5 linked regions of the Nothobranchius furzeri genome follow. The protein of the gene in region 4 interacts with the protein of the main gene of each other region in a biochemical or structural test. Links are inferred from orthologs where the notes say so. Each region holds a gene or a part of one and is shown on either strand. Other genes may lie near its edges. The genes, in order: uba1, prkn, uba6, ube2g2 and rbx1.

What was found.
Region 1: of the proteins of ube2g2 (region 4) and uba1, one has a biochemical effect on the other in vitro, tested with the Homo sapiens proteins (5 studies listed by BioGRID, with this or other methods). The link is inferred for Nothobranchius furzeri from reciprocal best matches to the Homo sapiens genes UBE2G2 and UBA1.
Region 2: the proteins of ube2g2 (region 4) and prkn form a complex in vitro, tested with the Homo sapiens proteins (6 studies listed by BioGRID). The link is inferred for Nothobranchius furzeri from reciprocal best matches to the Homo sapiens genes UBE2G2 and PRKN.
Region 3: the proteins of ube2g2 (region 4) and uba6 form a complex in vitro, tested with the Homo sapiens proteins (2 studies listed by BioGRID, with this or other methods). The link is inferred for Nothobranchius furzeri from reciprocal best matches to the Homo sapiens genes UBE2G2 and UBA6.
Region 5: the proteins of ube2g2 (region 4) and rbx1 form a complex in vitro, tested with the Homo sapiens proteins (3 studies listed by BioGRID). The link is inferred for Nothobranchius furzeri from reciprocal best matches to the Homo sapiens genes UBE2G2 and RBX1.

What each region holds. Positions count from the first base shown.
Region 1 is NC_091755.1:24,211,856-24,217,979, forward strand, and holds part of uba1 (ubiquitin-like modifier-activating enzyme 1), read right to left. Parts: intron 5,807-6,124; coding exon 5,672-5,806; intron 5,583-5,671; coding exon 5,476-5,582; intron 5,389-5,475; coding exon 5,298-5,388; intron 5,221-5,297; coding exon 4,990-5,220; intron 4,904-4,989; coding exon 4,757-4,903; intron 4,567-4,756; coding exon 4,390-4,566; intron 4,263-4,389; coding exon 4,155-4,262; intron 4,044-4,154; coding exon 3,963-4,043; intron 2,571-3,962; coding exon 2,418-2,570; intron 1,667-2,417; coding exon 1,501-1,666; intron 1,357-1,500; coding exon 1,160-1,356; intron 1,085-1,159; coding exon 1,020-1,084; intron 821-1,019; coding exon 625-820; intron 381-624; coding exon 306-380; intron 217-305; coding exon 27-216; intron 1-26. UniProt on the Homo sapiens protein: Catalyzes the first step in ubiquitin conjugation to mark cellular proteins for degradation through the ubiquitin-proteasome system.
Region 2 is NC_091752.1:62,523,961-62,530,556, reverse strand, and holds the start of prkn (E3 ubiquitin-protein ligase parkin), read right to left. Parts: upstream 4,097-6,596; 5' UTR 4,025-4,096; coding exon 4,018-4,024; intron 488-4,017; coding exon 324-487; intron 244-323; coding exon 1-243. UniProt on the Homo sapiens protein: Functions within a multiprotein E3 ubiquitin ligase complex, catalyzing the covalent attachment of ubiquitin moieties onto substrate proteins. Substrates include SYT11 and VDAC1.
Region 3 is NC_091747.1:78,728,344-78,735,043, forward strand, and holds the start of uba6 (ubiquitin-like modifier-activating enzyme 6), read left to right. Parts: upstream 1-2,813; 5' UTR 2,814-2,828; coding exon 2,829-2,954; intron 2,955-3,145; exon of another isoform or gene 3,146-3,217; intron 3,218-3,394; coding exon 3,395-3,483; intron 3,484-3,600; coding exon 3,601-3,695; intron 3,696-3,787; coding exon 3,788-3,816; intron 3,817-4,032; coding exon 4,033-4,127; intron 4,128-5,011; coding exon 5,012-5,123; intron 5,124-6,561; coding exon 6,562-6,642; intron 6,643-6,700. Other genes in the region: grhprb (glyoxylate reductase/hydroxypyruvate reductase), read right to left, coding at 10-126, 630-702, 775-908, 1,064-1,236. UniProt on the Homo sapiens protein: Activates ubiquitin by first adenylating its C-terminal glycine residue with ATP, and thereafter linking this residue to the side chain of a cysteine residue in E1, yielding a ubiquitin-E1 thioester and free AMP.
Region 4 is NC_091747.1:27,304,192-27,310,285, forward strand, and holds part of ube2g2 (ubiquitin-conjugating enzyme E2 G2), read right to left. Parts: intron 2,454-6,094; coding exon 2,335-2,453; intron 137-2,334; coding exon 1-136. UniProt on the Homo sapiens protein: Accepts ubiquitin from the E1 complex and catalyzes its covalent attachment to other proteins. In vitro catalyzes 'Lys-48'-linked polyubiquitination. Involved in endoplasmic reticulum-associated degradation (ERAD).
Region 5 is NC_091752.1:65,785,307-65,791,084, forward strand, and holds rbx1 (E3 ubiquitin-protein ligase RBX1), read right to left. Parts: upstream 3,185-5,778; 5' UTR 3,127-3,184; coding exon 3,049-3,126; intron 2,368-3,048; coding exon 2,289-2,367; intron 2,213-2,288; coding exon 2,142-2,212; intron 1,989-2,141; coding exon 1,903-1,988; intron 1,819-1,902; coding exon 1,806-1,818; 3' UTR 1,673-1,805; downstream 1-1,672. Other genes in the region: st13 (hsc70-interacting protein), read left to right, coding at 12-128, 212-251, 433-521, 719-853. UniProt on the Homo sapiens protein: E3 ubiquitin ligase component of multiple cullin-RING-based E3 ubiquitin-protein ligase (CRLs) complexes which mediate the ubiquitination and subsequent proteasomal degradation of target proteins, including proteins involved in cell cycle progression, signal transduction, transcription and transcription-coupled nucleotide excision repair.

The sequences.
Region 1 (6,124 bases), on a different chromosome or scaffold from region 4:
TTTAAACTTTTCCACATTGGTCTTACCAACAGAGGAATTACTGTTTTGCAGCTCCTGATCAGACACGTGGATTTTTACGCCCGAGCGAGGAGAAAAAATCGGCACCTTAACATCCTGCAAGATCTTGACCACTCCGGCACGGTCGGTGCTGCCTGGCAGGCCGTACGTCTGAGCAAACAGGTTAGCTCCCGCCACGACGTAATCCATGTGAAGCTCCTAAGACCCAACACCATGAATTCTTGATGTGATACAGATATGCTGCAGAGTTATGTTCATTCCTGAAGATCACTAGAAAACACACTTACGTTGCTAGTGCTGAATTCTAAGGGGTGAGGACATCTCTTTGGGCCAGACCAGAAGGGGGCACCTGAGCTCGTGAGCTGGAAGAGATTATGGCTGTTAAGACACAACATTCTAAAATGTATACAATAAATACTGGTGAAGAATTGAGCTAAAAAGGCAGCTGATGTATTAACAATGGTTTATAACATATTAACTGTAGGTGAAGAGTGGCACAAGGTCCATCAGAGGATGGGGACAATCTGGACTCAAACTTCTAACTCAACTTTTCTCCGGCTACAGAAAAAAGTCTGAAGCTAATCCAGACATGACACCAGTATTTACCTGCTGTGGGGGGAAATTGTGCAGTAACTGACGAATGTTGTTGCTGTATTGGCACTGCCAGTGGTTGCGAGCCCAGGCGACGCAGTCAGCCCAGCTGTGGGGACAGTCTGTGACCAGGGTCTTGTACACGGCCTCCAGCACCTCCACAGGTTGAGCTCCAGGGAGTTTTAGAGTGCGCTCCATAAACTTAGGATCTCTGCAAGGTTTACAAGCATAACAGCGGTCATTTTGCATTTTCTCATGACTGTTTAACCAAAGTCAAATCTTACTAGCAGACCTTTTAGCTAATACTTTTAGATATGCTGCTCTGACCACAAACTCCAAAGACACTCAACATCACACAGTAGCTATAACCCAAAAAGTATGACAGACACTCCACAGAGGAAGTAACTTACGTGAGGTACTGCATAGCATTTTCTGGAGACTGTTTGAAAAGTCCCTCGAACTCATCCCGGGCCCACTGAACAGAGAAGAAACAAAGATCAGCCACCAAGTCCACTCATGTTGGAGTTTGCATCATTGAGCTCCTGCTGACCTGCAGTGTGTGCTCGATGGCATTTGGGAAGTTTTTCAAAGTACAGATGGGGATGGACTTCTCAGGGGGGTCTTGGCTGGAGCTGTAGGACTCTGTGAGGAAGGGGATGACGACCTGGACATTGCCTTTGGTACCCAAAGTGCCTGACTCCAACAGGGGTTTACGGTAGTACACACACCTCCGATCCATGTACATGCCTTAGTGTAAGGAATACAAGCAAAGCAACGGAGGTGTAAACACAAACAAGCAGCTATAAAAAGATGGTTTGTAACAGAAAAAAAGCCAAACTGCATTCCTTCATCAGCGTGCGCATGTTTTAAGCAATTTAAAGTTCATCTTACGTGCATCAACATTGTCTAGTGCATTGGCGACGCCATCGAGGCTCTCAAAGAAGTCATCATCGTAGACCTTCTCCGTGTCGGGGCCCACTCGGTTCTGATGGCCTGTGATGTTGATGGAGGGGTTCATCTTCTTCACCGCTGCAGCAGCTGTGTCACTCTTCATTTTCTGTTGAAATATATAAAAACTAGATGTGAACGCAGCCAAGTCATCTATGAACTTCAGAATGTTATTTTAATAATGCAACATTTAGTAAATTCTAAAGAGGTAAAAGTAACAACACACCTTCCTGCTAGTGATGCATGATTGAGGAGTATTCATCAGCAGTTTAACTATTAACTGAACTAAAGCATCAAACAGAACACCAGGAGTTACTGTTGGCTGCAGAAACAACTCGATGATCCTTCAGACAAACAGACGTTTACTGAGCCAGATATTTAAAATGTTGACACATCAGTGCAGAACACCTGATGCCATTTTTCAGCAACCAGTTTCGTTTCTGTCCCTAACAGAATTGATGCATTTATGAAGACAGACTCCTACAGACAAACAGGTCCATGTCCTGCACTGCTGGACGCAGTTGGATTTCCTTGACCGAGCGCGTCTACAACTCCAGACATTTCAGGATGTGCTGTTCAGCCCGTTTTAAAGCATATTCTTTAGTGGAAAGACCCTGTTGATTTAATGTGACTACTGTGTGTGTGTGTGTGTGTGTATGTGGTGGTAGTAGTAGTAGTAACAGTGAGTAGTCCAACATAAAAAAACGGCAGCAGTCTGGATGTCTCTGATATTTTAATTTAAACAATTGCTAGCGCCCGTTTGGTGATGATTAATAAATAAACATCCAGACGTAGTGCATAAACGACTGACACCTGTTTGTGCTTTACATCTGAGCTACTGAGCAGTCGGTGATACTAACAGTAACATCTGAGGGTCTGAAGAGGAACTGTCTGTTGAGATTAGATTTCTCTATGGTGTCCATGTCGGTCACAATGACCTCGCCGTTCCCACTCGCCAGTCCAATCATGGCAAAGTTTTTCAGCAGCTCACAGCCGATGGCACCGGCTCCCACCTGGAAGGATTTCAGACAGAGGATGCAGTGAGTCAAGCTACAAGGGCCATTTCTCTACATACATACCTGCAGCATGCCCCCCCGGAAAAACATTGGACATTTTATATTTAAACGCATCAGTCTGGTGCATTTTTGGGGGGAAAGTAGTTACAGGCTGGCAGCTATGTATGATGAAGTATCTATACATGTTCATTATAATGACATATTTGAGTTAATGTTTTCCTGTCCTTTAATCCATTATGAACACAGACTACAGTGAAATCCACTAATGCATCCATGCTGCTCAGTACCAGAACTGCACTAGATACCAAAAGAACCAATCAGCTGGTAGGGCTCAATGATGAACGTGTGAGCTGCAGAACTTGAAAAACTACGTGACACAATTTAAGGAACAAAGTAGAATCCAGCTGCTGTTATTTATTTGTTGTTGGTGTTCATAGAAACTAAATATATCTGCAGGGCTTTAGGCCCAGGGCAGAGTTTTATACCTCAGACCAGCTTTAGATCATGACCCGTTATTAATAACATGTTCTTTACACCAATCTGAATATTCTGTAATGTTCACAGACATCCACACCGTAGAAATTAAATATAATCAATATTAAAATAAAAATTAATATAATTTTTTCATCAAGATTAGTTATCTGTTATACTTATTTACATTTGATGGTAATATGATTAATAATATTTAATCTCATCTTCCATCATTTGTGGGTTTAGTGCATTCCCTTAATATTAATTATAAAATTACAAATAACAGGTCACTAGTCTGGGCATAGACAGTGTTTCTAGGAACTAACGCTTGTTCAGCAGCTCACCTGTTCCACTGACAGGAGAAATCCTCTCATCAGCAGGTGATCAGCAGAGCGTCATGACTGAACACAGGCCCGAAAAAAACAAAGAGACAACTAAAAACACCGACCTCAGATCGGCCCACCGGGAATTTGGGTCCTGGTTCCGCTCATTACGTTAACTCTCATTGTGATATCAGAGCTTTATTGGCTCTGTTAGAATCCCAGCGCCTGGTGCGGGCGCAGTTTGTTTGTGCGCACCGTGGGAGCGAGCAATGAGCGCACGCGTTTTTGCAGCTTGGGCGGTGCAGAAACACGTTTCAACAATACCGGTGCGCGTTTCAATTAGAAACAGGAGAGAGCGAGAGACTACTAAACCCAAGCGAGCGCAATAAGAGATTTTGACTGAACTTTTTTCTGATTATTCCAACTGACAGATTTCCGTCGCCACGACGGAGAACTCAATTCCTGCTTTAACCCATGTAAGGCCAAAAAATACAAAATTATTATTAGTCTGTGTACTTTTAAAGTTACTGTAGTGCCACCGTTTTCAGACATTTTTAAAGGCACTTCCTGTTTAAAAGTCCCTATTGTGACTCACCAGGAAGTAGCGCTGGTTGGCTAGCATATCCTGAAGCTTTGTGCCAAACACGGCGATCTGCCCGTCATAACGACAGTTCCTCTAGAAAAGCAGAGACGTAAAAATAAAAAAAGGTTAACACCGAGGTTTTCCTCAGCAGTCGTGTGGTTTTGTCTTCAGTGAAAAACACTTTAATATTCTCTGAACACTGACAGGCGAGCACTCTTCCTCTGTGAGCATGACGTCGTCCCCTTCAGACAGACACTCCAGAGCATCAAAGTACAGCCACTGCATCACAGGCATAAATTTCCCCGTAGAGGCCTGACAGGACACAGAATGTAAAATATTTAACAAACTTATTTGTACTGATCACTTTGAACATTCAAGTCTGGTTAAAAGGTTTTGGATTTTTATTCTGCAGCTCTTAGTTTATGCATTTTCCTCCAACCTTCATCACTTCTTGTGCAGCCACGCCCCCGATGAAGGCATTGATAGGAGAAAGATCCCCGGCGGCGACATAAGCCATCTTCTTGATGAGCGCTTCGTTCAGCTGCTCCACTTTGGCAGAGCCCGTCTGAGCAGAGTTCACCTCCTTGGCCAAAGTCAGTAACTCTTCACCATCAGCCTGGAAAACACAAAGCTCAGCAATTTACCAATCTCACTAAATCAAATACACACTGGCACTGCCCATGCATTCTGCTGAGTTATCACCAGGGCTAGCCATTACAAAGGCTTCCAGGATAGCTCCTGTGGAGCCAGTCAATCAAAAATATACGTTAGATACTAAACCTCCAACTATGCAGTCGGACAGATACCTGGCTCCAAGGTGCCGGAAGGCGGCTGTGTTTCTTCTGGAATGCATGGATCGCCTGGAAGCCTGCATGAAGTTGTCCTGGATGGTCAAATTTAGCAAAATCTGTCAGCATGAACTCTGGCTCGGCCATGGAGGTGCAGATGGATTTCTGCAGAGGAAAAGTGATGGTTATGTGCTGATTAGTTGCAACATTAGAAATGACAGTGGCACCTCGAATGCCCTCTAACCACTTACAAAACTGATCTTCTTTGCCATCTTAACTTGGGTGACGATCCCTCCTCTGATGTAGTCGGAAAAGCCTGTCGTGTCACAGATGCTGAAGGTGTATGGACCCAGGACTTTGATTTCCACTGGCTGACACCCGTTGAGCTCTGTCATACCCTGCACCTCTGTGAAGGTGACGTGGTCTCCACTCTCAAACCCGTGACGAGCCTCATCCAGACATGTTACAACACCGGCGCTGTCCTAAAGACACAGATCAGCAACCTTCCTGTTAAAGTCAATCGTCTTTTATGTGACAAACATGAAAGGAACAAGCTAACCTTTGTGATCATGGAGATCATGGCACTAAGCGGCTGCTCTCCGTTGGTATCATATACTACCATCTCCTCCCCAAAGTCACAGAACAGTTGACTACAAGACGAAAGAAACAGAAAATAGTCTAACAACTGGCTTTGTACTGAAGTCAACAGAAAACATAAAAACAAGAGTGAGCTTTACCCAAATAGGCCGCGTGTGTCTGCAACAACCAGCTTGATTTCTTTAGTGTGACAAAACTCCCCCAAACGCTGTTGTTCATCTAGAGTTGAGTTAGTCAGCACCACCACCTTGGGGAAAACCATAGACACCAACATTAAAAAAAAATGCTCTTTTCTCACCAGGAAAATAAAGTCTTTATATTATATTGCAGGTTTACCTGGAACTTGGTAAGGTAGTCTTCAGTGAGCTCTCCGGTGTACGCAGTCACAGAAACGTAGTTGTTGAGTTCAGCCAAATGGGGCTGACTCACTTCTGCTCTGTTCTGCCCCAGATCCTCCTCCCGAATGTAAAACTAACCACAGACAAAATACAAGATGTCAGGAGGGACAAAAACACCAACAGCCCCATTTATGTGAACGAGATGAAAAGAGAAGTCTTAAGACGGGCGTACATTGTGCGACTTTTTCACTCGAAGCACTCCGCTTCAGCTCAAACTGTAAGACTTCCTCGCAGGGCAGATCTCACGAGTCATGCGCTCACACTGCACGACCCAGTTCTCGGATGCGACCTGACTGCTCACACTGTACGTCTGGTAGCAACACATCGGACCTAAAAATAGCCGTTTTTACTCAACACGTTACTTTTTTGTCTTGTTTTGCCTGTTGTCCTT
Region 2 (6,596 bases), on a different chromosome or scaffold from region 4:
TTCTACTTCTTCTCCTCCTGTTGCTCCTCCTTCCCCTCCTCTCACATTTGCCTCTAGGATAACAGCAAGTCCTGAGGAGGTTGCTGGGAGACGAGAGGAGCTCAGGTCTAACCTGGTCAGCCTACGCTGCTCCTTCTCTCTGACTGGAGACAGGTGCTCCTGCAGGAGGAGGAGCTGGGAGGAGGAAGAGCCTGGAGGAGGGTGGACCACATGGACGGTACTCTGCTCAGGAAGGTCACAACCCTGAGAGGATGAGAAGGAGTAATGTGAGAAGTAACCACCTGGTGAGCATACCTGTAAATGGGTTAGTTGTAGGAGCTCACCTGCAGGGAGGTGGAACTCTGCAGCTCCCTGCCAGCAAACAGCACTCGGAGCTCCTCTGGACTGACTCCCTGTCGACTCCCCACCACCTCCTTGAGCTCAGCCACACTTGCCTCCTCCTGCAGCTCCACGGCCACACCAGGCCCCAGGTTGTACCGCACAAACACTGCAGGAACACAGGTGGGCCTCAGGTGAGAGAGTGCTGCAGAACTTCTAAGAATCCGTTTTTTCCTGAATTAAACCCAGCTGAAAAAACTGAGTAGTTTTTACGTTGTGCTTTGGTGCTGGTTTAGCTGCTGGACCAGCCTCGAGACACAACATTTGCTAGTGACACCTATGCTGTTGTTTTCAGCAGGGAAGGTCAAAAGAAGCTCCTGAAGTCTTCGACTGGGTTTTCTGCAGCTGGAGTCAAGCTCCCGTCCTCTTCCAGAGACCTGGAGCTTCAGGATTCTTCCCAGTGTCTCAGTTGTTCGAGGACCAGGGATCTCATTGGTCTTGGAACCACAGCCTTCTCCCTGGTGTTCCACACCTCTATGCATCTAAATAAGGAGATGTGCATGTGTAGTTCTGCTGGCTGTCTCCACATGTGTTGAGGGATAAAGCTTCTCGGCACGTCATAAGCTACAGATGCTTTTTAATGTAATAGATAATATCCTCAGTATTCATCCACCAGTGGGTACTGAGCCCTCTGTGATGACTTGCAAAGCATTTTTGAGGTTTTTTGTGGACAAAATAGTCTATATCAGAGCCCAGATTCTGTCAGACTCTTTCTGGTCCCCGCTAAGACACTTTTAGTCAGTTTGATCCGCTTACGTCGGACAGCCTTTGGGTTTATGTTAACTCTGTAAAACCTGCTGGTTCTCCCTTGGATTTGACGCCCCCTAGGCTTTAAAAAGAGGGTTTTTCCTCTGTTGGTCCTTGGGTTCTTACCATTATTAATCAGAGCATTGTCTCTGGAGTAGTACCAGGGAACTGGAAATATAAATTCTGCTCTTTTTTATTTTGATAACTTGTTGGAGGTGTGAGGGCTGGTATCCAGCATGTTTTAGTGGTTTCTCTGCTCCAACACACTTGATTCACCTGTGCAGCAGCTCATCCGGCTCTGCAGTTAATCACCTGCTGACTGAAATCAGGTGTGTTGAAGCAGAGGTAAAACTAAAACACGCACCTCTAGCACATCTAGGGTGATGGTCCGAGAATGGGTCTGAGTACACTGCTGAACAAGTGCCAAGCCAACCCTCCTTCGATTTTTACGGGCGCACCTACATAAGGCATTACGGTGCCCTGTTCAAAAGTGCCTTTCAAATTAAAAGCGCACTCCCAGGATTTGTGTCTGAACATGCTGATGAACGGATTTCAAAGTGTGTGTTAAATTGTGTGTAAGATAAAACTGCATTTTAAATGATATAATCTTTTAAAAATACTTTCAATTCCCAATCCTAACCCAACAATCAATCAATCAAACTATTTATGAAGTGCATTTCATACAAATAATGTAACAATAAAGACGTTTGTCTACTTTGCAACTCTTATAACTCCACTCCCTTTCATCGTGATCTGATGTGGCATTTCAAAATAAAGTTCAATCAAATTTGACAATGAAGACAATTTTCACAATATTCAATGGTTTCTTTTTCAAAAACTGTCTGATTCTGCAACATCATTCCACCTCATTGTTAGAGTACACATCGACTACTTGTTTTGTTATTTAAAAACAGTGAGATCTTAAGCTAAGTAAAAAAGTTATATATTTTTTATCTCTGAGAAAGTGAAACTTAATTGTATACTGTAAGTTATTATAAATTTCCCTTTTTTAAATTCACATTCACAAATTACTTGTATTGACTTGTTTTTGAGAATAATACTTCAATTGGGATAGCAAAGATGGGCTTTCTTGAGACTGACCATCAGTTTTTGTAAGAAGAGGTAAATAACTATGGACTAAATAGATGAGATATTAGGTTTGAAAATGGTTTGTTTCTAAATTCCACATTGGATACTACTCCAACACTGTGGTGGAATGATGTTGAGGATTCAGACAGTTTTTGAGAAATTAACCATTGAATATAGTGAGAATTGTCTTTATTGTCAGCTTTGATCGGTTTATTTTGAAATGCCACATCAGATCCTTATTAATGTAGTAGTCGATGTGTATTTTACCACTGAAGTGGAATGGTGTTATGAAATCAGACAGTTTTTGAGAAAGAAACCCATATATAGATATTGAATATAGTGAAAATGGGCATTATTGTCAACTTTGATATTACTTTGAAATGCCCTATCAAATCAGGATGAAAGGGAGGGAAGGGATAAGATTTAATTCCATTTTTGGTTCTTTTTTTATAACAGATAAGGTTTCTCTTTACCTTGCTAACGTTTCGTTTGCGGCTGCAAACATCCTCAGAGCTGACGCTGATGGTGGCGTCACTTCCTTCTCCGTTTATCCGCGGGCAGCAGAGGACGTTGTCACCCTCTGCTGCCCGCTCTCCCTTCTCCGATGATGCAGTCCATGCAGTCCCATGCACGATCCAATGTGTAAACTCTATTGTCTCTGTTCATAGTCCCGCCTCTATGTCTTCTTATCGCTATAGCTTCCTTTATCCATCTTTTGTATTTCTGTTGATCGGTGTTTGTGGTCCTTGTGTTGTCCCAGTCCATTATATGGTTTTCTCTTGTGCAGTGATCTGTTACGGTTGACTTCTTTATTGTGCTTTCTGCTTCTTGTTTTGCTGCTCGTGTGCCTTCAACTTGTTTCTTTCTCGCACTCCTTTCTATGTTCTATTGTTCATGTTTTGAGTTGGCGTCCGGTTTCTCCTATGTATGTTTTATTGCAGCGTTTGCATGAGATTTTGTAAACACATCCCGCTGTCTCATTACTTCATAGTCCGCATCCATGGATGCGAGACTATGAACAGAGACGATGGAGTTTACACATTGGATCGTGCATGGGACTGCATCATCGGAGAGGGGAGAGCGGGCAGCAGAGGGCGACAACGTCCTCTGCTGCCCGTGGATAAACGGAGTAGGAAGTGACGCCACCATCAGCGTCAGCTCTGAGGATGTTTGCAGCCGCAAACGAAACCGTCAGCAAGGTAAAGCGAAACCTTTTCTGTGTTTTAAAAAAAGAACCAAAAATGGAATTAGAAGTCAAACACAGCAAGAACGTACCAAAGATATAAAAATGGGATAAAATTTGCAAAGCAGACAAATGTGTTTATTGTTTTTAATTTAAAGTTTTTTAAAATAGACATATTATTTAAAACGCAGTTTTATTTTACACACAATTTTAACACAAACAAAAACTTTGAAATCCGTTCATCAGCATGTTCAGGCCCACATCCCGGAAGTGCCCTTTAATTTTGAAAGGCACTCTTGAACGAAGGTACCGTAATGGATGATGTAGTTGCGCACGTAAAAATCGAAGAGGTGCTGGGTTGACGACCGTTTCCGAACGGGAGGCTGGCTTGGCGGCAGTCTGGGTCCCTAAAGCTGGACCTTTGCATTTAGGTAAAGACAAACATGGTCATTTGTTAAGACGACAAATTTTATTGTAACGTGTTTCCTGTGGGTCCACAATTAGACCCGCTTTTAATCTGACAGTCACCGGAAGCATAACCAGAACTCATCCGAACAACCAACGTCACTGATCATTTAGTAACGGATCAATTAAAGTGATCGGCCAGCTACGGAACTCACCGATCATCCGTTCGTCTCCTTCATGAGTTGTTTACAATCAGCCGGCCGCAGTGCATTCTGGGAGCTTTAATCCCAGAGCAGGCTCCGCCCCGTCAGGAACCTGCTGCCTCCTGCTGGACCCAGGTGTGCACTTCAGAATCAAGTAAAAACGAAACATGCAGCTTTCTGTCATTTTTAATCCCGTTTACATTGATTTAAATGAAAAAAATGCCAGTATTTCCTCCAAAGAGCAGTAAAATACTATCATTATACATAAAGGCATCCTGATATATTCTAGTTCAAAGGTCAGGGTCGTGGGTAGATCTTCATATGGATCTGTACCCATGAAGTAGGTCTCAGCTCCAACAGGATGGTGAGCCCTAACCCAGTCCTGATGAATGTCTTCAGTCACAGATCTTTCCTATCCACAGTGAGAACCAGTAAGGACCAGACACAAGACTCAGAGAACGAGTTTGCTTCAGCTCCCTACTTTTCTGCTCCAGTTCCTCTAAAAACCTCTTCTTTCCTGTCACTGATTGCTGGATATAGTGGATTTTGTTGGACCTTTGATAGTTTTATGATTTTGGGGATTTTTTGATTTCTTGGACTTTTATTTGGACTAAAAATCTTTTGGATCTGTCAGAGGCAGTTCAGCTAGGACGTTCTCGCTGTTGCCTTGAAGCTATTTGAATGTGTGTCTTCCCTCTCCTTCTGCCCCACAATGACGCCTTTATGCCTTCTGAAGCGAATAAAAGGATTGAGAACCTTAAAGAGCAAGTCACCCCGTACCAGATTCTTACTCAACTCCCACTTCCTGTTTGAAAAATGCAACAAATGCTGTTGCCTAGCAGACAGAGAGGGTGGAGCCGCTAACAAATACACACACTCACGACATTGTGACATCATAATGTACCATCTAACATCATAGTGTACCTCTTAGCCAATAGCGACGGCAGATTTAAATTCAAATGCAGTGCTGACTTTTTACCTGACGACGGTGCAACACTGACATTTTAGGCAGAATATTTAAATTTTAACTAAAATGCACTAAGGTGCCGAATTATTGACTACACATGTCTGCAGCACGATCAGACATGCATTTATGTAGTTTATCAGCAAAAAAATGTTGATTTGGAGTGACTTGCTCTTTAAAGAGGATATACGACGACTCTCTGCTGAACTGCAAAGGAAGGAAATGCTGCGGGATAGTTGTAGACAGGGCCGTTGCTTGCTATTTTGGTGCCCTAAGCACAAAGACTTCGTGGTGCCTGCCCACCCCCCCCCCACCCCACCCCCACCCCCGCAAAAAACAACACAATAACACAGTATGTGCAAGCGCTTCGCCTTAAATTCTCTTTAATTCTCTTGTATGCACAAACTGCTTATTATTTCCAAAAAGTAGGATTGATATTTACGTAATATAACTACTCAACACAGTAACTCCATATTGTTATTATTTAGAACTATGTAACAGGTCCACACACCAAAAGCACCGGTTGTGGCACATGTGTTTCTCCAATGTAATTTTCAGATGCTTTTTCAGATCCAGGACTCACTCTGCCTTCAGAAGAGCTGGCTGTGGGCTGTGCTCGGTCTGTAGGCGTGCTTTACTTTGTAATTCCTGGTCAGGGCTGGGTGATGTAGAAGGTTCAGACGTGACGGCTGACAACTGATCTTGAGCTCTTGAACTGCTGGTGGAGGGCTGATATGAACTTTTGGCGTGAGCTCCTCCTTGAATGTACTTGTTCATTGAGCCTGCATTCAAACACAAAAAGATAATTTGTCATATTCATTCTATAATAAGATAAAAGTTTTAAACCATGGTAAAAAATACTGCAATAGATTATTTATAGGTTTCTATTGGCTTATAAATCACTGGCATGTGACATGACTAAACTCAAAACTATTTAACCTTTATTAAGAAGTAGAGAGACACAATATACAGGGAGTGCAGAATTATTAGGCAAGTTGTATTTTTGAGGAATAATTTTATTATTGAACAACAACCATGTTCTCAATGAACCCAAACAACTCATTAATATCAAAGCTGAATGTTTTTGGAAGTAGTTTGTAGTTTTAGCTATTTTAGGGGGATATCTGTGTGTGCAGGTGACTATTACTGTGCATAATTATTAGGCAACTTAACAAAAAACAAATATATACCCATTTCAATTATTTATTTTTGCCAGTGAAACCAATATAACATCTCCACATTCCCAAATATAAATTTCTGACATTCAAAAGCAATACAAAAACAATTCAGCGACCAATATAGCCACCTTTCTTTGCAAGGACACTCAAAAGCCTGCCATCCATGGATTCTGTCAGTGTTTTGATCTGTTCACCATCAACATTGCGTGCAGCAGCAACCACAGCCTCCCAGACACTGTTCAGAGAGGTGTACTGTTTTCCCTCCTTGTACATCTCACATTTGATGATGGACCACAGGTTCTCAATGGGGTTCAGATCAGGTGAACAAGGAGGCCATGTCATTAGTTTTTCTTCTTTTATACCATTTCTTGCCAGCCACGCTGTGGAGTACTTGGACGTGTGTGATGGAGCATTGTCCTGCATGAAAATCATGTTTTTCTTGAAGGATG
Region 3 (6,700 bases), about 51 Mb from region 4:
AAACGTTACGTCTTAGCTTCATGCGCCGCCTCAATAAGCCTCCTGGAAGTAGTCAGCAGCAGAGCGACAGTCAGCTCAGCAACAGCGTCTGTCAGAACATCCGGGGTGTAACCGACATGGATTCCTCTACAGAAACACATGCAAACAAACATCTTATTCCATGTTGATCATACCGAAAGTTTGTGCGTTGGGTTTTATTTGTGAAAGCATAAATAGCTACATAAAGACACACATGAACTGGGGCAGCAGTAGCTCAACAGGTTGAGCGGGTTGTCCAGTAATCGGAAGGTTGCAGGTTCTATCCCGACTCCAGACAGAGAATTCTGCTGTTGTGTCCTTGGGCAAGACACTTAACCCACCTTGCCTGCTGGTGGTGGTCGGAGGGACCGGTGGCGCCTGTGCTCGGCAGCCTCGCCTCTGTCAGGTTGCCCCAGGGCAGCTGTGGCTACATCGTAGCTCATCACCATCAGCGTGTGAATGTGTGTGTGAATGGATGAATGATACACTGTAGTGTAAAGCGCTTTGGAGTCCTTACTCTGAGAGGCCCTATACAAGTGCGGGTTATTTATCATTTATCATAACTCTTCATATTTCAATGTGGACAACAGAATCAGAAAGGTGGGGGTCACCTTTTCTTCAGCTCCTCCAAATTCAGATGATCATAACCCACTGACATGGTGCTGAGGACCTTCAGGTTTGGACCTATGAAACATTTAGCATAAACTGAAAGACCATATTTTAGGTTATTTAACTGAAAGATTTTAGGTAACCTACCTGCTGCGTCCAACAGTTCGGCATCAACCTTTTCTGTCAACACACAGAGCAGACCGTCAACCCCTTTGACTCTCTGAAGCAGTTCCTTCCTCGGCACTGGGACGTCGTCAGAGTCCCAAAGCTCCAACTGCACCCTGCAAGGGTACGAACATTGTAACCAAAGCTCTGATGCAAATATTACTTCGCCAGCCACAGAATCGTTCAGAAATGCCTGAAACTCACAAGCAACACAAAATCTGTTAAATTTGTTGATTTGGGATATTCTGTTTGAATACATTCTTTAACTCACTGTCCTGACTTGTGGAGGAGCCTCAGTCCCTCAGGAGGGATCTGTCTGGTGACATACACCCGTGGCAGGGTTGACATTTCCCTCTGCACTTTAGTCGGTGCACCGCCGGAGACACTCAAAGGGGCAACTGCGATCCTCTGGAGCCGATGTAGCGCCATACGACTGCCCCACATTGCCAGGAAAGGGTGAGCCTGTAGACAGTTGTCTGTGGGATAAAGGTGGTACTTTGGAGTTTAGCGTCTATTGCGGGAACGTTTACAAATGTGATTTTAGAGAACTGGGGAGGTTCCTGTCTGACCAATATGGTTAGAGGGAGGGTGCATCCACAGTCTGAGTGATATTTCAACAAGCATGCAAAAGACAAAATTACTGAGCTGTATCTGAGTCAAGGTTTGTGTATCGAAACAGAGCCCTTTGTATTTCAGATTAAAGTGAATGTAAATAATCCACGATAAATTAATCTTCAAGCTGTTTGATTAAAAAGCACAAATGTGGTTTTCTTTATTCTACGTCAGCCCCAAAACTAGAGTCAAACACAGGTAAATGTTTTACTCACAAGTTGACCTTTGCTCCTTTAAAAAGTAGAAAACCGAAAAATGTTCTGGTTGTTTTCTTTCAGTTTAAACTGGTTGAGAAATTCCTCTCCAGCTTTCCAAGTTGTATTTCATTTCCCAGACATCTCCCTAACACTAACTGTAACAAAAACGTAATTCACACCGTATGACTAAAACAACTGGTAAGCTGTTTTAAAAAAGTGAGGTCCTCACTTTGAAAAATGTCCTCACATTGTAGGGAAAGAAGTGAAAAAGGTCCTCAGTAGGTAGTACATACAAGTACACAAACACAAGCACACACACGCACGCACACACACACACACACACACACACACACACACACACACACACACACACACACACACACACACACACACACACACACACACACACACACACACACTTTGTCTTTCAGGAGCTTCGATTAATTTTACCAAATTGTTTTTTGATTGTATTTGGTTCTCATTTTATTAATTTGAGTAGTTTTATACATTCTTTGTGAAATCCAAATACATAAATGGCTTTCCTGTTTAAAACAAAATGTGGACCTTGAAATAAATAAATGTCTATGAATGTCTGATTGTGTTTATTAGATGCAGTAGGGTATTTATTGGCCTAACTTATAGTTTTATATTTGACATGTTTGATTAGAAACTAAAAACGTCTTCTGGTAACACTTTATAAATAAATATGTTTGTTTTATATTATCTATTAATAATAAATGTATTAGAACTAAATTCCTAAGTCCTGTGGCCGCATGGACGTAATTTGGGGGGGGGACAGGGGGGACATGTCCCCCCCACTTTTTCCAAAGTCAAGTTTTGACCCCTGCTTTTTTTACCATCCAAAAACAATATTACGCTATATTAAATTGACACTGGTTGAGCTCTAGGACCAAGCGGAAAACAATTGTTTGTGTTGAAGCCTGTTTCCCATTAGAGCATACTGTAAAGATTCACACACACACACCCCACCCCACTCCGTGTCCCCCCCACTTCTAAAGTGAAAATTACGTCCATGGCCGCCAAAGGACTATGATCTGAAACGTTTGTAGTGCTGAGCTTTTGAATCGCGCGCGCGTGTGTGTGTGCGTGTGCGTGTGTGTTGTTTGAAACTCACAAAAGTGTAATCTGAAATATTGATAACTCAATAGCCTCCGTTATTTGGTAAACATCTGACAAAATATGAAAAAATTTCTTTCGACTTTCATCATGAAAAAATGCCCTATTGGAGGATTTTGGTCACGTGATTGTGATAACCCGGAAGTACTCCAAGTTTTTAACCAGTCACAGCCATTCATTTGCTGTATTTCGTCGTGCTCACTGTCAGATATTCGCGTAAGATATTCCGCCTTATTTTAACAACATTTAAACATTTTCTTATTCATATTTCCAATAAGCTCAATTGTCTTGAACAAATGATTAATATTTTGGTGATGTATGGTCTAACGCGGGTGCCATTGAGTGTATGTAGAAGTCCTCGCCACCGGTGTTGTACCGAAAAAAAGCATCCCTGCCGGCAGGAGTGACACTCGCTGCTAGTTAGCTAAAGCAGCTAGCTTTGAGCTTTTATCAGCAAGCTTTCTAAATAGTAGTACTTTGTAAGTCACGTTGTTATAGTTAAACTTTGAGTGTTAGAAGCGGTTGTTGTCAAGCTCTGTTTCCCTCTTGGGTGACAGTTACACTTAGCCACCTTGCTAAGTTACAGCAGGGCGTTGGTTTACGGTATAAACTCTAACAGCGTTTTATAATCTGCGGTTATAATTGGTGTTTAATAGGTGAAGTCGCTATCTGTGAAACGGCTGAACCCCATTTCCCCTCCCACCATGGCTTCTGATTTGATGGAGATTGACGACTCTCTCTACAGGCAAGTTAGCCAGCGATTCACCTAAATAACTCGAAACTTAAGACATGATCACCAACCACCTCTCTCCCTGATCTAACTCATCTTCTCACGCTCTTTCTTCTTCATCTCTCCCTCCAGTCGCCAGCGATATGTGCTCGGAGACCGTGCTATGCACCAGATGGCCCAGTCCTCAGTCTTTCTCAGTGGAATGGGAGCAATGGGAGTGGAAATAGGTGAGCAAGACTGCAGCTTTTAGCCCAGCAGCACTCTGGCATTGGTCTTTATAAACAAGTTTGATGTTTACACTCTTTTTTTTTTTGTTTAGCAAAGAATATTGCCTTGGCAGGTGTAAAGGTAGGCACAATCTTTAGGTTGTGTGATTTTCAAACATCGCCAATTCAATTTGATTTGTTTGTGTGCTTACTGCATGTGTGTGTGTGTGTGTGTGTGTGTGTGTGTGTGTGTGTGTGTGTGTGTGTGTGTGTGTGTGTGTGTGTGTGTGTGTGTGTGTGTGTGTGTGTGTGTGTGTGTGTGTGTGTGTGTGTGTGTGTGTGTGTGTGTGTTGTACAGTCAGTAACGCTTCATGACACAAAGCTGTGTGAGACCTGGGATCTTGGCTCCAACTTCTTTATTCGCAGAGATGATGTATCGAGCCAGAGGAGGAGGTACAGTGTGCTACACGATTGGACTGCACAGATTCTTTGTACATTTATCAGAACACAGAAACTATACATAATCTGCACAGTCCTCGTGTGCATACACCAACCAGAATGACACTTGTATGAGTCAAAGTTTGTTTGGAGGAGTGTGTTGCCAGCAGCTAACTTCAATCAAATGTCATTTTTAGCCCAACGCTTCACTAGCCTTTTCTAAAGCCAGTCCTAACTAGAGCATGAGCAGTCATGGTTTTTCTATGTTTTATATTTCATCTGAAAAAATACAACATTACCACTTAAAGATATATTATAACAAAGCTTAGGAGAAGTCAGACACTTAAAACATAAATACAAACATACACATAAGAGCAGTCCTAATTAAAAGAGACGTACCAAGGAGCTGCCCGGTAATCAGAATCAGCATCGTCTGCTTTATCTATGATTAGATGATTTCTGGGTGGTGCATGTTGCTAAGGATGATACAGTTTGCTCATTTTTTGTCTTAAAACATTTTATGAAAGATGATACAGCTGCTAGTGTTTGTGGGATGATCAATTGTTAGCTAGCTGTTATGCAAATGAGACATGAGGGTTTGAATGTCCAGAAAACGTGCTTCAGTGTGATTCCTATAGCTAGCCTTGGTGCTATTCTTAGACTAAATCAGACCCATTAGCGCGTGGTGCCTAAATGAAAAGCTTGTTTTGCCTTAATGTCTGTTTAATTCTGTATTTCAATCAGCCTGTTTATCTAGAAACAGATCATTAGTCATGTGATCAATAACAACATAGCCAACGAATCTACTCATGTTATAAAGCAAGACTTCAGTGTCAGGCCGCCCCTCCTCGTAGGCTCTTCTCGTGTTTGTTGACCTGGTTCTTCCCCTGCTCTCAAAGGGTGGAGGCGGTATGCCCTCGAGTAGCTGAGTTGAATCCTTACGTCCAAGTCGACGCATCTTCCGTACCCCTGGATGACAACACGGATCTCAGTTTTCTCAGGAAGTATCAAGTAAGTTGGTGCTCTTCAGGTGATAATTTAAATAGTAGTATATTCCCACTGGCTTGCATGCAGAAACTCAAAAAATTAGAATATGGAGTAAAAGTCCATTTATTGAAGACTTGATTTATTTAGACTGAGAGACCGTCTAAAGCCTGGTTTATGCTTCTCCGTCAGCTCCGCAAGGGACAGACACGCACGGACTGATGGAAGCGTTTTGCTCTCATAATTCTCCGTCTCCTGGAGAGTGTTGCAAAGCAATTCCCCAGCAGGACACCAGAGGGCGTAGCGCTGTTCTGTGGTATCCTGTCATGTACCGGTCCAAGATAGAGTGTCTATATTGTGTTTTTTGTGTATATAAGAGACTTTTAACACGGACATATTTGTCTCTCATTCTCCCACCGCTTCATGCGCTCCCCACCTCTAAACCCACGTTTCCTGTCATTTCCGTCCACAAATAAAACGCTTGCTGCGCATCTTTTCACTCCTCCAGTCACGGGAGAATTAAACGTTCTTGTTTTTAGAGTTTTTTTCGCGAGGTATTCTTCAAGCTTCTCCGTGTCTGCCGCTAGTTATCCTCGGCTCTCTTTGCAATGGCGGCGCTGTAAACAACAGCGGCGTCCTGACCAATCACAAGCTTGCGTAATCCGTCTCGTTCGACGGATGTTTATAAAAGTGGGCTCGACTCCGTACGTACTTGCGTGCCTGCCAGAGCCCTACGCAAGGACGGATAATGGCGTTGCGTGTCTCCGCACTGACGCAGACGGAGAAGCATAAATCAGGCTTAAGAAACCCTTTGCAGGTGTTCTGGATTGAGTAGCTTATTAGCGTGTGACACTTTGAGTCTAGAATATTGAACCTTTTCACAATATTCTGATTGTCTAATATTTTGAATGTGGAGTTTTATAAATTGTAATCATCACTATTATAATAAATAGAGGCTTAAAATCTCTGGCTTTGCATGTCATGGGTTTATATATATTTTTTATTAGTCTCACATTTTAATTGAATTACTGAAATAAATGAACTTTTGTACCATATTCTGATTTTTGGAGTTTTACCTGTACATGGCTGTTGCTCGTTCTAATGACCATGCTGCCTGTTGCCATGGACAGAATCAGTGAAGCTGCGTTAGTTCAGTTAGGTGTTAAAATGGGGAAAGTTTTAAAATGGTACAAATAAGTCAATAAAACAGGCCACTCGTGTACTCTGATCCATGTCACAACTTCCCGTGTGCATGTTTAAAATGGTCAGATTTTGGTAATTAATGTTGCTTTTTCAATTTAAAACATATTTTTAGGCTAAATTTGTTGTTTTAGATCAAGGATCATGTACGGAAACCTTTTTGATTTTCATTAATGGAAGCAATGCAGTTTGCTTGTTTTCATTTGGATCGTTGATAAAATCGGCGATCTTTGCTGTAAACGTGGACCCTGCTGTTGTTCTGCAGTGTGTGATTCTGACTGAGGCCAGTTTGACCCTACAGAAGAGAGTAAATAAGTTCTGCCACTCACAACAACCCCCCGTCAGGGTAAGACCACGCTCCCAGTTTTACTAATGGGGGAACAACATTCAGAAATCTTTTTCTC
Region 4 (6,094 bases):
AACATGCTGACCACAGACAACAGGATCTTCTCCACACTCTGGACTGGGCTCCACCTTTCTGCACTGCTCTCATAACCCATTGGATCGTCCCCTGGGGCATGGAGGATGGAGATGCACACTCTGCCATCAGGGTAGACTGGAAGGACCAAAGTTGTAAAGTTTAGTATGGTTAGTCGTTGAAAACAGTTCAGTCGTATGGACGTAGTTTGGCTAGCATCATTAGCCATTATTAGGATTTCAAGATCCTGGTTCTGGTCTATGGGGCCTTACATGGACAAGCACCATCTTACATTGGTGATCTTCTTAGTCCCTACACCCCCAGCAGGTCCCTGAGGTCGAGTGACCAAAGCCTACTGGTTGTGCAGCACCAGGCTAAAGGTCAAAGGTGACAGATAATTTGCTGCTGTGGTCCCCAGACTCTGGAACTCTCTCCCCCTGAGCCTGAGATCAGTGGACTCAGTGGATTCCTTTAAAAACAGCTGAAGACTCACTTGTTCAAGCTGGCTTTTGTATGACCTTCTTCACCACTCTCTCTTTATTCTGCTCTCCCCACCTATTCCACCTTCCTCAGGATCCGCTGATTTCCCTATTTCCTATTACTTTTTTTTAATCACAATTGTCTGTCTTTTGCTCATTTCAAATATATTTTTAACCATTTTCTAAATTATTTTTTGTATTTTTACATTTTTTGTTTTTGTGAAGCGCCTCGCGATTTTTATCTTGAGAGGCGCTATAGAAATGATATTTTCTTCTTCTTCTTCTAGCTTGGCCTGCCAGACTCATCAAGTCATTTAGACCAGAGGAAAGAGCCGTAGCGAACTCTGCTTCAGTCGACATATTTATGACAAACTCTGCGTTGTGGTGTGACGTACACTGCTCAGCACTGATTGGCTCGGTTAGAATTCTCAGGGGGTGGGGCTATTTGAACAGGAAAGATCCCAGACCCGTTCTCTGTGCAGAATTAACCAGAGGAGGAGTCTGGCGGGCCAGGCTAGAGCATCATAGCTGTGAAGCTAATGTGATGAGAGCCGGTTCTGACAAACTCAGGAGAAACAAGCAGTGATGAAACTGGCAGCACAGTTTTATTTTTCTGTAGAAAAATGCTTGAAATATCTGGCTTTGCATGGAATGAGTATTTCATAGATTAATTTCACGTTTTTGATTAAAATTCTGACATAAATGAACTTTTGCACCAGATTCTCATTATTCCAGTTTCATTGGATCCTATCAGCTGATCCAATCCAATCCTACTTGATTCTACAAGTTCACAGGTGTCACGTTTTATACCATCACACCGGTCGGTCCTCACTCACAACCTAAATGTCTATCAGGCAGTAAACACCTAGGTCTATCGGGACTGGTTCTGATTGGACCACATTTCTGTAGGACACCTGACTGAGTTTAATCCAGTTTAGTTAAGTATATTTGTATAGCCCCAATTCAAAACTATCCTCCCACTTCACAAAGTAAATATTCCAGTTGAAGTTCAGGTCATTGTTATTATTATCATTATTATTGCCTCTTCTGCTGTTTACTCAGGGTGCTTCAGGATGAGGTGATCCGGCTGCAGCAGGAGGTTCTCATGATGATGGGTTCTAACCAAAACCTCTGTCCTATAATCAGTACTGAGGGTGAGCTAGAGTGAGCTGTGACATCACAGCATCTGCCCACTAATCAGAGCTAATGAAACGGTTGGCTAACGAGGCGTGTTCTGACAGGTCCAATTAAAGGTTCTGAAAGAGGGTCTCTGTGAGTGGGCCAACCAACTGGTCATGTTAAATGAGAGGACAACTAGAATCAGAAGAAACATGCCATGGGTAAGGGGGCGGAGCCTACAGGCGGACTTACTGTTGGGATTAAACATGTCACAGGTAAGGGGGTGGAGCCTGCCAGTCGACTCACTTTTGGGATTAAACATGTCACAGGTAAGGGGGCGGAGCCTGCAGGTGGACTGACTTTTGGGATTAAACGTGTCACAGGAAAAGGGGCGGAGCCTACAGGAGAATTTACGGTTGAGATTTAACATGTCACAGGTATGGGGGCGGAGCCTGCAGGTGGACTTACTTTTGGGATTAAATGTGTCACAGGTAAAGGGGCGGTGCCTACCGGTGGATTTACTGTTGGGATTAAACGTATCACAGGTAAGGGGGCGGAGCCTGCAGGTGGATTTAATGTTGGGATAAAACATGTCACAGGTAAGGGGGCGGCGCCTGCAGGTGGATTTAATGTTGGGATAAAACATGTCACAGGTAAGGGGGCGGAGCCTGCAGGTGGATTTACTGTTGGGATTAAACATGTCACAGGTAAGGGGGCGGAGCCTGCAGGTGGACTTACTGTTGGGGTGAAACATGTCACATGTGAACCTCATCTTCGGAGGACTGAGAGGATAATCAGATGGGAAACTAAGGACGGCAGGAAACACACCTCCTTCAAAACACGTGTCTTCAGGACCCCTGAAAGATACACAAACACACGGGTGAATAACACTGATCACAAATATCAAACTACACCTGTAGACTGGAAGGTGAGTGGAGCTACAGCCAGGTTCTGTTTGAATGATAGACTGAACAAGACAATCAGCTGAGAGGTGGACAGCTGTTACCACGGTGAAAAGGTGAGGACAGGGAATCAGAACAAGATGAGTCTGATCCCTGACCAGATACCTGATCCATGATATGGTGTATTTACCTCCGCCAAAGTTGTCACAGTCTGTATCAGAGTGGATGGAGGCTGTAGGAGAAGCAAGAGAGATAATGCTGCTGATTGGGTTAAACGGCACCTTGGGGTTCCCTTTTGCTTTGCCTTGTTCTTTCACAAGCCTTCTTTTTTTCTGCATTGGTGCTTGATGTCGTTAAACCAGGGAGTAGGGTTCACTGCAGGAACTGATCTGGTTCTGACAGGACAGATGTTGTCCTCGTTAAACTGAAAAGTGAAGGAATCTGGGTCATCATCAGAAGAACAGGGTGGATCAAAAGCAGCAGAAAATGTGCTAGCTGTGCTCTCATTAAGAAAACGAGATCTAACCAGATGGAAATCAGTATGTGGGGCCGCAGAAACAGACTAGTTTAAGAAAATTCGATGGTGATCTGAAATCTAAACGCCCTGTCAGAACCAGATCAGGTCCTGCAGTGAACCCTACTCCCTGGTTGACAGAATTTGCAGCTTTAAGCACCGATGCAGAAAAATTGAGCACTTGAGGAAGAACTCATCTCCATGTCCATCTGCTGCATCTAAAAGATCTTCTAACCTCATGAAGTGACCTCCTGTTTAGCACCATCAGCAGTATAGTCTCTGCTGCTTCACCTACAGCCACCTTTCACTCTGATGTAGACTGAAGACATTTTGTCAATCTTTGTTGTCAAAGTTAACAAGGTTAGGTCTAGCATCCCTCCCTCAGCCTCATCTCTGCCTGAGTTAACAAAATTAGTTAACTCCATGAAGATCTCTGCAAACCCCCCTCCAAATCCTCCCGGCGTGCTCTATAATTTTAAATGTCTGGATGATTTTTTTAACTGATGGCATCATACAGACATTTAATTTCCATAATTACGACAAAAAGCAACAGCTCTTGTTCATGAAAGTGCTGCTCTAGTAGGGCTGGGCGATATGGCAAAAATAGAATATCACGATTTTTCCAATATTTTATCACGATTTCGATTTTATCACGATTTTTTATCCATGAATAGCATAACTTCAATTGCGTATTAAAGAAGAGAAACATTGAATAAATAAACATTTATTCATATTAGGGATAATCAACACAGTGCTAACACACTTCTATTTTAAACTCACACCAGAGATGATAAAAGCCCTGAGAGAAACAATTACAAAAATCAGTTTTTCTCGTTTTTCAAGTAACTTAACATAAATTAAAATCGTAAACATATTTAATGAGCAAACATGTCAATTGAAAACGTATTGTGCAAACATTAACTTGTTCAAAATACTATGTAGCTCCCAGTTGCTCATGTAGTGGATAGTTAAGCTCAAATACGGCTCTGATGTGCGGCTGGACCAGAGATCGCTTGTGGTAGCAAAAAACTGCGCATTCTGAATATTTTCTGCAACTCTCACTTTGCATTCAGCGTACATGCGTGGAATGGCGATGTTCGAAAAATACTTGCGGCTGGAAAACTCGTAGCGCGGATCCAATGTTTTTATCATTTTCTTAAAGAGCAAGTAACGTCTAAATTAACTTTTTTTTGCTGATGAACTGTATAAATGAGTGTCTAATAGTGTTTTAAATGTGTGCATTCTTTATTTTAGCATTTTGGTGCATTTTCTTTAAAAATTAAAAATTCTGTCTAAAAACCACAGTAATGCGCCACCTTCAGCTGAAAACATAGAATTTGAGTCATTTTGAATAAATTTTAGCCAATGGCTAAAGAGTAAGATACTACGTAAACCAGTAGAGTACTACGTAGCAGCTCTGTGCCAAAGTTATAAAAGCAACGAGCGTCTCGGCCACGCCCTGTGGCGAGTGGGAGTTGGATTTGCAAGCGAGCGTAGGAGGTCAGCGGTAGTTCAGCATTAGAATATAGCATTAGCATATCCTAGTCTTTAGCATAGCTTTTAGTGTTATAAATACTTATTTAGTGTTAGCTTGGCTGTTGGATATTGTAGTTTAGTTAGTGTTTGGCTGTTAGTGTAATTGGGAAAGTAGTTCGGGTTTAGTGTTCCATATCGTCTTAGTATTAGTGAGTAGGTGTAGTGTAGTATGCTTGCGGTGACTCTGTGGGCATTTTACCCGCGATTCTGCACGCCTCCGTTTGAAGTGGGAGGCTGCCCACCGTGGCTCTTCCGCGATTTAGATGCAGCCCACCGACTCTGCTCCCCCACCACGGCGGGCTCCAGTCTGAGGTGAGTAAGCTAAGTAAACGTGTTAACATCTTCTAAAGACAATTTCCTACCTAAATGCAAAGTCTGAGGGACGTGGTTCACTTCCTTTAGCTAGTCAGTCGGTAATTCTGCAACAGTGGCTCTAACTGACGCAGCACTAGTTGACAGACAGCATTACAGCGTGAAATCCAGCTTGTGACCTGGTTCTGTAAGGAATTCTGCTCAGGAGGTCACATTTCAGGCTCTCCACATCATATATGACTGACTTTTACGTTATAACAACGATCACACACTAGGAATGTTATAAAGCGCCTATATAGGAGATTCTTTTGTATATTATCTGACTTTATAAACTCCCAACAACAATGTGCTTATATTTTTTTTTTCAGGCTAAATCTACCCAGGACACTGGCTGTCAGACTGATTTAGCTGCAAGAATGCACTTGTCCAGGCTGACGTGAAACCTTCCCTGTAGCAAAGGTGAATTATTTTTAATAATCTTCTATGTAAACATTTTATTATTACCTTCTAGTTTTAATTTGTTTTACAGATTATTGTTACACGTGATTTTATGCTCTTTTAAACATTTATAAATGTGCTGCTTCTTTGTTTTTACATAGCCAGCCAGTTTAGAGCTCACAGCCGCAGTGTGTCTTGTGACCCACGGGGACCATGATGAAAATTCATCTTCCAGAAAGTCTCAGAGCAGCGGCCACACCCCCTGAAAAGACCAAGGTGTGAGGTGTCTGCTGTTGATTCCAGCTTCCACCTCAGTGACAGTGCAAGCTCAGTGAACTGTTCAAGGTAAAAAAAAAAAAAAATTAAAACATCTCAGAATTTTTAAGATATTAACAATTAAATAAGTATGTGATTACATCATGACGGAGGCTACTGATTCTGCCCCCGTGACACTTGGTGGGGACGTGTGAGCTGATTCACCTGGAAAATAACTTTTACATTAAATGTTTTGTTTTTGCTATCAAAAGTAAATTAACTAATAACCTGCATTATTGCAGGACACTCAGCAAAATATGGACTCTACACCATGAGGCATGCACACATTAATATTCTATAAGAGCACATAAGGTGAGCAACACCACATATTGTACACTGTCCTGAATTTGTTTTCTTTCTGCATCTCATTAGCCTGGCTGATCACCTGATAACTCCTGTCATCTGGTTGTGACAGCAAGAGGATGTCCTCACACACCTGTAACCTATCAGCTCATCTGGCAGAATAGAGAGAGAAGAGACA
Region 5 (5,778 bases), on a different chromosome or scaffold from region 4:
ATCTCTTTTAGGCTAATAAAATTGTGGAGCACAGACGCAAATATGAGCGTAAGAGGGAAGAGAAGGAGATCAAAGAGAAGCAAGAGCGCGTAAAGAAAGCCAGAGAGGAGCACGTGCGGGCTCAGAGGGTGAGTTCTGGAGATTCATATACATGAAAGAAATCATCTCAAGACTTTATGAAATCTGTGTGGTTTTCTTTGTGGTGCAACAGGAAGAGGAAGCACGGCAGTTTGGAGGTGGATTCTTCCCAGGTGAGGTCAATGGAAGCTTCAGTGGAGAAGATCTTGCATATTTCATGCCACTGGACCCACCATGATTTATTTACCATCTTATTGTTGCAAGCTCTAAAATCCATCAGACGTTCGTAGCCGCAGGAAGATGATTAAAAAACGTGACTACGTTGCCATGGTTCCTGACTCTGTTCTCCTGCAGGTGCCGGTGGTTTCCCGGGTGGAGCTCCTGCTGGCATGCCTGGTCTCGGTGATCTCTTCAAGGATCCTGAGCTGCTGAATGCCATGAAGGTAATTTGCTGCTCAGCATCAACCCTTTGCTAGTTTAAACAATCACGTAGACCATTTATTGGTTTTTCTGTAGAGATGGGTCATCATTGTTTTTGATCCCATAGTGAGGTGTTTAAACTCCATGTTGGCTAGTCCTAAGTCATTAGCACCGCATTTGTCTCTAAAAACAAATTGTTTGGTTTTATATCAATTTCCAGGACCCTGAGGTGATGGCTGCTTTCCAGGATGTGGCGCAGAACCCTGCCAACATCTCCAAGTATCAAAACAATCCTAAAGTCATGGCCCTCATCACCAAACTCAGCTCCAAATTTGGAGCTTCCCCACAACCGTAAACGGGCCCGGAACCAAATCCAAGTGCAAACGCGGCGAAGCTGACTGGAGAGCGGCGCTTTTCGATTACTCACTGTGTTAAGTTAAGCAGGAGCTGGTGACGGGTCAGCTGGAGCGAGGTAGAAGTTGGGCTACTTTATAAACAATGATCCTAATCAACACCTTAGTTCTATAGCAACATCTAATCAAAGCATCCCGACGGTTAGGAATGATGTTGGAATCTGGGATAACCTTGTTTCAGCTGGAACTTCATTTAACAGCAGGTTGATCTTTTTTTTTTATTGAAACGGCTGCACTGCTAGATTGCCCCTCCCCCCTCGTATTAAGATATGAACGTTTCTACAGCCATTTAATACGTGGTTTAACCTCTGTCTGTCTCTGAACACAGCCGAACTCTCACGAGCGTTGGCATGTTTTGTTATTAATCTGTTATAAATGCAAATAAAAGGATGTCTGTCTCACCCTGTTGGAAAAATATTCACAATAAAACTATTTAAAAACATTTTGTTCCATTTTATTGGTTTTTAAATTAATCTGATTATTAAATAAACTAAATTAAATAAGCATGTGAGTTATTTCATTATTCAGGCGGTATGTGTAGTCCAGACGTTTAATCCAGCTGTGCTGCTTGTTTTGTAGCTTGAGGATTACAGCCGTGTCAGATCTCATGTCATTCCACGTGGCTGTAGATGCTCGTGACTTTCGTCCCAACACAATGTACCTCATGAACTAAACTATGAAGGTGCATGGTTGAGCATATCATGTGCACTTAATCTAGTTTTACGACTTCAATTCAAATGTGATTACATCCTCCTGAAGACTGATGGTTTTACAGTTTATTGAATTACAACATAGCAAAACATGTAAAATAACATCTAGGTATATGAGCAGGAAGCAAAATGGAAAGTGAAAGGTTGATGCTCGCAGAAGCCAAGGAACAGGTCAATATCACAACTAGTGTCCGTATCTGCGAAAGAAAAAACGAAAATGTGTTTGAGTCAAGCATCAAACAATCCTCAAAATCATATATGCATTAATGGATCCGACTCACTTCTGAAACTCCCACTCCCTGTTGTCCAGGGGACACACCTGTCTGGTCTTCAGCCAACGGGAGATACAGTGGAAATGGAAGGCATGCTATGGAAGGTAAGGAAATGTTTAAACGACTGGATAGCAGTTTAACAAAGATGCAAAGACTGAAAAATAAGTGATCTGCACTTGTAGAGTGCCTTTCAGAGTCAAATGACCCATATCTATCATCCTACTGAAAGTTGCACCTTAGAAACTCACATTGCAGACACCCCAGGCCACAGTGCACTCTTCTGAGGTTGCAGAAGCTTGGTTGGCCTGGCACTCTATGCCTGATGAAGGATGAGGAATTGTGTAAGAGGGCTGCCAACAACTCACATGCAATCAAACACCCCTATGTGAACTTACACAGATCCATGATGTGGTTCCTACAGATAGCACAATTATCCACCACTATGTCCCAGGCCCACAGTGCAACAGCATTCCACTGGAACAAAAATCACATTCTGTTCATAGGAAGGTAACTTAAAATGAAGGACCTCATACCTGGAAATAAAAACCTTAATTCTATGGCTCATTGTAGGGTCTCTGACATTCAGTACTAATTCAAAGTTATCTTACAAATAAAGTTTTTCAACCTTTGATTAAAAAATGCTTCCATGGACACCTCAATCTAGAAAAGGAGTTAATTAAAATCTGATTAATAAAATCCTTCTCTATCAGTACCGTTACTTTTAAATTATGTAATGAATAGGAGAAAAAAAACCTTGTCATCAAAACTACTTAACATTTTATCCTGAGGAAATGTGACAGTCATTTAAATACTTTAAATCTTGGGAAATTTCGAGATGTACAGCTTAGCTGACTAAGCTAATTTAGCATGTAGACTAAGAGATTAAAGAGGTATTTGTCCATTTTTAAATCGTGCTGTTATTGTGTAACTACTGAGAGTTTATCATCGCTCTTATTTCTCTACAAGTTCTAGTTTAGACTTTAAGGCCATAAACAGAATAATGATTAATTATTTCTTGTAGCAGGCTAACAGCTAAACACCGATAACGGTGTTTAGCAAGCTAGCGTTAGCTAATGTTGGGCTAAACCTTTCGGCGTTGCTGACAAAGTGCACCGTTTAGTTTAGTCAACACAGACAAACTTTCAACTATCGTACCTTTTTCACTTCAAAGCGCTTCTTGCTTGCTCCACTATTTGTACCGCTTGGCGTGTCAACATCCATTGCTGCTGCCATTTTGAACTCTCCGGAAGCGTTTATCTAAGTTTTACCGGAAAATAGCGTCACTTCCTGTTCGACCAGATTAAGCAAATTTTCGAAAGAAAATATTATTTTCTTAATAATTTTTGAAAAAACAAAATCAGGTTGTATTTCTGAATTGTTACCGTTGACACTCTTAATATTTGAAGAAGTATTGGTTAAAAGGTCAGGTTCCACCGAGATTTGAACTCGGATCGCTGGATTCAGAGTCCAGAGTGCTAACCATTACACCATGGAACCCCTGCTTATTAACATTTCTCTGTAAAGAATTTGTTAAATCAATAGCACATGTATTGCTTTTATTCATTGCTTTTACACACCCTTAATTTCTCATGCAAAAAAAAAAAAAAAAAACTTCTCATGCTGTATAGAAAGGTGTATCTATCTGAGCTACACACTGCGTCATACTCATCACACTACTGTGTACCACACACTCCCCTAGCTACAACGCTGCAAATGAGCGAGAATGGGGAGTTGACGCCCTCCAGTGGCAAAAGACCAACATAGCAGACATAACCTGTAACATAATAGAAATGCGGTTCTTTATACTGGTTGTTCTTTGTATATAATAAACTTTTAATTCAATTACTTGCAATCTGTCGTTTTATTTGATTGACCTAAATAATGCAAATAAATATATCCATCAGAGTATTAAAACACCTGCGTACTCAATCCTTTAATTTGCGCTCTCTGCTGGAGAAATCGGGTTGCTGCAGGTACTACATTCATACAACTTAAAAATTACGATTTTTAAATTGGCGTTAAAAACACAGTTAGTATAAAATCGGAAAATACACAATAAAACAATTTAACTAATGAAACTTGATAAATGTATTTCAGTTATTCGTGTTAAACAAGATTAAATCAATAGGCTAAAGAAGCTAGCTATCAGCCCCACAAACATTCGATTATACGCCCACTGGCGGCCACAGGGCAAAACTACATCTACGAGAGGACTTCATTTGCTTCCCATTTGGAAGCATGGGCATGGCTGGCTTCGCTAAGATTTAGAGGGATTTTTATTCATTTTAAAAATGTAATTCTTAATAGGTGATATGAGATACATATATTTAGGTACTAATATTTTTATCAGCATGAGTTTGTCAAATCAAACCCGTCTGATGTAAAACTATTAGTTCAAGACCAATAAACACCCAACTACATCTAATAAACACACACAGGGACATTCGTGTAGAAATTATTCGTTATAAGGTACAAATTTTTCAAACATGAGAACTCAATCTTTTAGCATTATTATATTTTCCCTGGCTGTCGTGAGTATTTTTCGCCCTCTAGCGGCCGAAAACTGTTACTACAGGTAGCGTTCATAAAGCTAAACAAAGCATTACACTTCCTGTAGATTCCTTCAAAACAAAACATACCATTTAAAATTATTAAGGGTTTTAAAGTGGAATTAACGGCAAAGTTAGTATAAATAACAGGAAAACTGATAGAATTATTATTCATGTTTTCATTTATCATGCTTTATGCTTTTATTATAATTAAAGATTGTTTTTCATTTACCATGTTTTATGCTTTTACCATTTGAATGCTTAAACAGTTGCTGTATTGTAAAGTCCCCTCATGAAACTTTAAGGGTGTTAAATCTGACCTAATATGACCATCGACATATATACGATGGTCACATTAGGTCACTGCATTTGAATCATTAATTAAGGTCTGATTGACCTTACCTCCTTAGGTCACGATGTGACCTAAGGATGACCCGTGGAGATCTGCTGTTCTGTCAATTGCTGACTCGTGCAACTGTTTGCTACTCATTGTGTGATTAGACACTGGAAGTTCTTTGTGTAATAATGAATGCTCTTTGTGTGAAACTTGTAACAATTAAAAACTGAGAGCTGCGTCCCCCCCCCCCCCCATTCACAATCAGCTCTCAGGCATGTACCTAGGGAGCTCCCAGCTTGTAATAAATAGAGGTGCTCGGATTCCAAACGCCAGAATGGTTTAGAGGAACTGTCAGCTCAGTGGAGACTGAGTTGGTGTGGCCTTATTCCATTCTCCTCGAGCTCAAACTGAATTCTGACTTTTGTGTCTCTTTCCTTGTGTTGTGTTGTTATATGGTGTCTCAGGTGCTTAAACCTGACAAAAGCCTGAATCTCGTCACCTGTACAAACTACCCAACTACTGAAACTCAATAAATTTATTTTAATTACTTGTGTTCAACCTACTGCTGGAGCTATTAGCAGCTAGCGATCAGCACTACAAAAATCAAATCACACGCCCTCTGGCGGACACAGGGCGAAAATAAATCCACAATAGAATTAAGAGGGATTTTAGTCTTAAAATTAAATTAACATAAAATAAATATATTCAGGAACAAAATTTTACCAGCATAAGTTTGTAGTTCCCAATCAAACATGTCAGATATAAAAGTTTGTTTTAAACAGAAAAAGCATTGATGTATTTGGATTTCACAATTAAAACTACTGAAATAAAATAAAAACCAAATACAAATTGGTACAAATTTGATTAAAAACCACTGAAAACGGAGTAAATGTTTGATCAAAACAGCTGATTTAACTTGATAAACTTGTTTAATCAAATTAAACTATAAGCAATATATTACAATTATATGGTTTAAAGGGGAAAGTTGAAAATAAGTCT